Linked DNA regions of Schizosaccharomyces pombe. The gene in region 1 interacts genetically with each later gene. Each region holds a gene or a part of one and is shown in the gene's direction. Other genes may lie near its edges.

Region 1 (3,756 bases):
CAAGCAAAACACCTTGGAAACTTTTCTGGACTGGAGACTCACATGTCAGAAATTTGGATCGAGTGAACCAGTATATGAGCGTTATTGATAAAATTCAGCCAACATGGTTGAATTGAGTGGAAGTTAACGATTGCACTTTATCAGAGACAAGATTATTTCGCTTCTTCAAAAGCACTTGTCAAACTTTTTAATAAAAGGAAAAAAGTCCATTTTGATAGGACATTAATTCTCTTTTGCACATTAGATTATAGATTGAGTAGTTTGCCTACAAACTTGCATTTTTCTTTAGTTATGATTTTTGTTTATTCCCCCACATAACCCCCATGTAGAGCTTAGAAAAGGTGATACTAGCTTTTTTCTTTTGTGAGTATCAACGTTTATCAACAAAACTAGTAGTAAACATGTCTTATAAACTTGAGTTGTTGCGTCGTGCCTTAGAACATAATGTTTTGAAGTTTGGAACTTTCACCTTAAAATCAGGCAGAAAATCTCCATACTTCTTCAATTCTGGTAATTTCACTCATGGTGCCGATTTATGCGCTCTTGCAGAAGCCTATGCCGAGACTATTATCGCTATGAACGTTGATTTTGATGTCATATTTGGTCCTGCTTATAAGGGTATCTCTTTGGCTGCTATAACGGCCGTCAAACTTTATGAAAAAACTGGAAAGAGCTATGGATTTGCCTATAACCGCAAAGAGGCCAAGTCCCATGGTGAAGGAGGTAACCTTGTAGGCGCCGAAATGGAAGGTAAAAAGGTTTTACTTTTGGATGATGTTATTACCGCTGGAACTGCCATTCGTGAAGCAATTTCCTTCTTAGAACCTAAGCACGTAAAATTGGCTGGTATCGTCCTTTTGCTTGACCGCCAAGAGCGACTGGACCCCGAAGTAAACGAAAGTACCATTGGTAGATTGAAGAAGGAGCTTAACTTACCCGTTTCCTCCATCCTTACTTTGGACGACATTGTTGACTTTACCAAATCAGACTTAACTGCAGCTGAATCAAAGGCAATGGATGCTTACAGACAGCAGTACCAAGCCAAATGAGCTTATGGTAATGTTTCTTTTAAAAATTTGGAAGGAGGAAAGAGAATAATTGGATAAGTATCTTTTTTGGTTTTTAGCTTTGCTTTTTTAAAGAGAGTGAAGTTAGTTGGTATTTACATATGTTATAGAATTTTTTTATCTGTATATTTGTGGTGATAGATACAACTCATATTAGAAGGAATTTTCTATAAAGCGATTGCATTTAGCGGTATTCAAAAATTTCTCTATAATAGACGAAGGAAATTGGTTTACTTGTTAAGCTTTTGTTTTGCACATATCCATCTATCTTTTGATTAGTTCCGTGAATCTGTTTTTTTTGTGTTTGTTTCTTCTTTTGTGTTATTCGAATCTTTCCAAGATGACAGTTAGGAATGAAGCTACCAAAATATTGAGTTGAGGGATAATTAATGTTTCACAAAATGGTATTTGTGTATTATTTTTGTAAAAATTTGTAGGATTTGGTTTTTAGTGATGATTATTTACGTTCGAAAGACGCATATAATGGGCAATTATAAAAAATTTAGGATTTTATTTTTCAATTCTGCGACGGGTATTTATGCTCTGTGTTTGAAATACCAAATATTAAATAATGGTAAAACCTTTAAACAGAAGCCTGGTGATTAACTTTTTATTATGACAAGAAAATGTTAAGAAATTTTGGAATGTTTTTATTCTCATATTCAATGTGAATTTGAATAAGTAGTCACTGCAGTCTATAAATAAAAATGGTTTATTAGAAAAACTCGAGTTGAACAATGAAATTCTTTATCATTTATGTAATACAATTGGTTTAACATAGTGGAATCGAATGGTACAATAATTGAGTTACTAATATGTAACCTTCAAGTATTTATCGTTTACCACTAACTCACCATAAGAGAGGGTGAAAGATTTAGTTCTGTTTGTGTGAGATCTTAAAAAAGCAAGCAAATTTCCTTTTTATCAAAAAAAGGATCCGCATTTCCTGAAGCACTTTACTGTGATTTTAGGGATTTTTTTGGTGAGTAAGAAGCAGTGTTTTTCGATTTTTCTGAGATCTCGCTGTTGAAAAAATCCGGACTAAATCGGCTCCGTAGTCGATAAACCCAAATCTACAGCTTTTTGATTTAAATTATACAAATCGTGATCTGGAAAGTTTCGAAAGGTTTCTGTCCTTACATATTAAAGTTCTTGGTAGTTGAGTATCTTACATCAGCTGGTAAGATACGTGGATTTTTAGGGATAGCAGAGGTCTTTAAAAACATCTGTTTTTAACTCAAAACATAGAGTTAAATACTTTTTAATTGAAAAAATCTTTGAGGCAAACGCCGCTGAGAGAATATATCCTTTCTTTAGTGCATGCAGTTAGTATCATATGTATTTCCGACTTTATCTGCTATAAATACTCGGTTTTCAAAAACTATCGATATTTTGTAGAGGAAATTTCAATTTGCTTCTTCTTTCTCATTTGCTTCGTTTTTTTTTTTATATGATATTAATAGCTGGCGCTGTGGAGTTGAGACATTAAATTATTACAAACATTTAGAGAGACGAAACGTTGTTATTGCATCAAGTTTTGAAGCTCTTCCTTCCTTCCTTTTTTTTAAATTGCTTGCCAATAGTGCCGTTATGTATAACGACCAAATACATAAAATCACCTATTCAGGAGTGGAAGTATTTGAGTATACGATCAATGGCTTTCCTTTAATGAAACGTTGTCATGATAACTGGCTTAATGCCACGCAAATCCTTAAAATTGCAGAGCTCGATAAACCCAGGAGGACAAGGATTCTGGAGAAATTCGCTCAAAAGGGACTTCATGAAAAAATTCAAGGTGGTTGTGGAAAATATCAAGGTTTGTGTTAACTTCTTACTATATCAATAGGTTTAAAACTACTTAAATAACATAAAATTTTTGTCTCTGTTGTTTTTATTTATCAATTTATACTTTTTTGGATGCCTGTTACTAACTATTCATTCAGGAACTTGGGTACCCTCTGAAAGAGCTGTTGAACTTGCTCATGAATATAATGTTTTTGATTTAATACAACCTCTGATTGAATACTCTGGCTCTGCGTTCATGCCAATGTCTACGTTCACTCCTCAGAGCAATCGTAAGCCTACAGAAGCATATCGACGAAACAGTCCAGTAAAAAAGTCATTTTCCCGGCCTTCGCATTCTTTACTCTACCCTTACACATCTTCCAATAATATGACATCTACTTCTAGAATGTCAGGAATCCATGATGCTTTGTCTCTTCAATCTGATTTCACGCGCTCTCCCGATATGCCTTCTGATTCCTTTACGGGATCTTTGCACGATATCAAAGCTTCTCCGTTTTCTTCAAACAATTATGCGCAGTCTCTCTTGGATTACTTTTTATTACCAAATACTACACAACCTCCTGATTTCGTATATGATCGGCCATCAGATTGGGATGTTAATGCTGGCATTGATGAGGATGGTCATACAGCACTTCATTGGGCTGCTGCAATGGGAAATTTGGAAATGATGCATGCACTATTGCAAGCAGGCGCCAACGTAGTTGCTGTCAATTACCTTCAACAAACATCTTTGATGCGCTGTGTAATGTTTACCATGAACTATGATTTACAGACTTTTGAGGTAGTTTCGGAGTTGCTTCAATCTGCTATCTGCATGAACGACTCTTTTGGCCAAACCGTCTTTCACCACATCGCATTATTAGCTTCTTCTAAATCAAAGATG
Region 2 (3,459 bases), 980 kb from region 1:
AGACGTTGACTGGTATACGGAAGAAAAGGAAAAAATTGCACGTCAGCTTGTTATAAATCGAGAAGCTTTTGAGGATATGGATCCTGAAAGTCGAGCTGAAATCGAAGGCTATAGAGCAGGCACTTATGTACGTATCGTAATAAACGACGTTCCGTTTGAATTTGTTGAGCACTTTGATTCTCGCTATCCCGTAGTTGTTGGTGGATTACTACCTAATGAGCAACGGTATGGATTAGTTCAAGTTCGTATTAAGCGTCACCGTTGGCACAAAAAAATACTTAAAACGAATGATCCTCTGATTTTTAGTATGGGTTGGAGAAGATTTCAGTCGATACCTGTATATTCAATTAGTGACTCGCGTACTCGAAATAGGATGTTGAAATATACTCCAGAACACATGCATTGTTTCGGTACCTTTTATGGACCCTTCGTCGCTCCCAACAGCGGTTTTTGTGCGGTCCAATCTGTAGCCAATTCGTTCGCAAAGGCGGGTAGCTTCCGAATTGCAGCTACGGGCTCAGTATTGAATATCGATCAATCGACCGATATTGTTAAAAAATTAAAATTGACTGGTGTTCCCTACAAAATATTTAAAAACACAGCATTTATTAAGAAAATGTTTAGTAGTCCTTTAGAAGTTGCAAAATTTGAAGGTGCCAATATCAGGACTGTTTCAGGGATTCGAGGTCAGGTTAAAAAGGCAGTTGATCAGGAACATGGACATTTCCGTGCTACATTTGAAGACAAAATTTTAATGAGTGACATTGTATTTTTGCGGGCATGGTATCCGGTACAAGTGCGAAAATTCTGTACAATGGTCACCAATTTACTTGAGACGGATAAAACGGAATGGAACGGTATGCGGTTAACAGGAGAAGTTCGGCATGAATTGGGATTGAAAACTCCTTTACGACCCAATTCTCAGTACCAGGAGATTGTTCGACCCTCTCGACATTTTAATCCTCTCAAAGTGCCTGCCTCGCTTCAAGCTCAGCTTCCATTTAATTCTCGTCAAAAAGCCTTACGTCCTAGAAGCAAACCGACGTACATGCAAAAACGTACAGTTTTGTTGAATGCAGAAGAACGGAAGGTAAGGGATTTGCTTCAAAAAGTAATGACTTTGCACACGGACAAGGAAGCGAAACGTAAAGCAAAGAAAGCAGCAGAACATGAGCGGTATCATAAAAGGATGCAAAAAGAGGAGCAAGCATATATTGAGAAGAAGCGGGAAGAAAAAGCTGAATGGTTTGCTCAACATGGGAAGAGATTGAGACAGGATGGTAATTCTTCTGGTTCAGGGAAAAGATCAAAAAATTAGATTTTTAAAAATGCGTATTCTTTCTGTTTTATTGAGTTTGTACTGGTGCGTCATAGACGAACTTTTACAACTACATATACATTTTGGGAATTTAATGGGTTTAATATTTTATAAATAAAATGTGTTTATTATTTTCTGTGTACAGTTTGCATTTGAGCTTTGTCTCTCTTGTGAATGATTTGTATCAACTATAAGGTCATGTAACCAAATAATTGGGAGAATATATCTATGTTTCTGAATGCAATTTTTTTGGTCTATTTGCAACTTCTCATCGACGAAAACGGTGTTTACAAAAAGACAAAGGTACCAAGTAAATTGCATATAACCGACATCAGTATATTCATGTAACTTTGGCTGATAATCTTATGTTTTTATTGTTTGTATGGTAGAGTGTTTTGTTACTTGATAATTCTGGTGTTCTGCCTGTTGCTTTTTTCAATCGTTTGTACGGGCAGGCGCGACTTTCGACTTACCAACACATCGTTCAACGCGTCTTGTTTCAATTGAAACAATTATATGCTATACGGAGGATTATTTGATTGCAATTGGATATTATAAAAGGAATTTATCGAAAGGAGAATTCGAATAGGCTAATAACTCGTCATTTTTATATACCTGCATACAGACGAACTCAACAAATATTAATTCATGGCAGGCGGCCACAAGAAAAATGAAGCTACAAGGCAGACTGATGAAGTTATTCAACAAAAATACGATGAATCATTAAGCAAGGTATGTCAATTACGCAAACACAATTAGGTAACATCTCGACGATACAAATAGAATCGTCGATGAATAATTTTGGTTTAGCATAAAAATCGTTGCGAATTGTCATTAACTTTTGAATACAAGTTATCAAACAAACTTAGGGCTCGTTTGAAGGCAGCGTTTTTTAAGGTCGATCATGGATGGGAAGATCAGACATTAGATCAAGTGGAAACGCTTGTTCGTAAGGAAAATCACGTTCATCGTAGATCACGCTCGATCAATGACTTGGACTCTTCTAAGCTAAGAAGGCCGCATCACCCCAACTCAATTATGGGATCGAATACAGGCAAGCTGCGTGCAAGTTCATTTACGCGATTGGTGAGCCCAAGAGAGGGCTTCGCTCAGCTTCCTTATAAGAAGCCTGTATCTCCTTACTCATCTTCTAGTGCTGTTTCTTCTACGTCCTCGTCTTTTGATAGAACTAGTCCTCCTTGGTTGAACTACGTTGAGCCTCATACTGAGCTACCCAGACTGCCATTTGAACTTAGCCATGCCTCCACTGCTTCAGCTAAATCTCCACTGTTCGGAATGAATTACCATATTTCACGCCCTGAAGAAACCGATGAGTCTCTTCGCCTTGGCACTGCAAACCTCAGTAGAATTCGCAAGTCCACGAGTCTTCCTTTTCCAACGGCTTATCCCCTATCGGCAGATGATTGCAAGGCAGCTGAAGTTATGCTTACGTTGGTGAATTCTATGCCTTCGAAAAAACCATAACATCCTTCATTTTAGATGGTATACGAGCATTAAGATATAAAATTACATAATTATTTCATGAGAGTTAATCTATAATTTGGATGAATAGATTGATTGTTCACATCCTGCTGAAGAATTTTTGGAAAAATCTCGTTTGAGAAGTTTTGTTATTTCTTGCTATCCGTCTCCAGTCCTATGGTTGATGAGCTATTAACCCTCTATATGTTTAAATGCTTGATATGTACAAGCCAAATTGTGATAATGCTTAATGATGTTTATGACAAAGGGTGAATGTTTCCGGGCGTACAACAGTCTTAAAGATCATAGAAACATTATTTACCATGTATTTATTAACGTTCTTCCTACATCTTGATCCTTATGATTTGAAATGATTATTATATAAGATAATGGAAATTCGCGAACTCGCAAAATTATGCATTCATTTCGAAGTATGGCTCGAGACAAAGCTATTTTTAAGTTTCTAAGAAAATAAAATAAATAAATAAATAAAAATAAGACCCTCCCATGAGCCTCATTACAAACTCTATTTTTTCTCAATCTCCATACGTTCAGGATCAATCTTCTATTTAAAGCCTTACTAAACGTCTTAATTACTTACATTTTTATTCTTTACCAAACAAACTCCTTTGTTAGCATGGTTGAGATTATATTCTCTC

What was found. Genes that interact genetically often act in the same process or in processes that back each other up.
Region 2: of res1 (region 1) and whi5, a mutation in one rescues a mutant of the other (synthetic rescue), as found in Schizosaccharomyces pombe (2 studies listed by BioGRID, with this or other methods).

What each region holds. Positions count from the first base shown.
Region 1 is NC_003423.3:1,230,678-1,234,433, forward strand, and holds the start of res1 (MBF transcription factor complex subunit Res1), read left to right. Parts: upstream 1-1,908; 5' UTR 1,909-2,657; coding exon 2,658-2,883; intron 2,884-3,010; coding exon 3,011-3,756. Other genes in the region: acetylglutamate synthase Arg6, read left to right, coding at 1-116; orotate phosphoribosyltransferase Ura5, read left to right, coding at 402-1,049. UniProt on the Schizosaccharomyces pombe protein: Acts as a positive regulator of the mitotic cell cycle and as a negative regulator of sexual differentiation. May be involved in the transcriptional regulation of the cdc22 and cdt1 genes. Is an integral component of the DSC1-like complex.
Region 2 is NC_003423.3:251,182-254,640, forward strand, and holds whi5 (cell cycle transcriptional repressor Whi5), read left to right. Parts: upstream 1-1,784; 5' UTR 1,785-1,966; coding exon 1,967-2,050; intron 2,051-2,128; coding exon 2,129-2,803; downstream 2,804-3,459. Other genes in the region: GTP-binding protein Bms1, read left to right, coding at 1-1,318. UniProt on the Schizosaccharomyces pombe protein: Has a role in meiosis.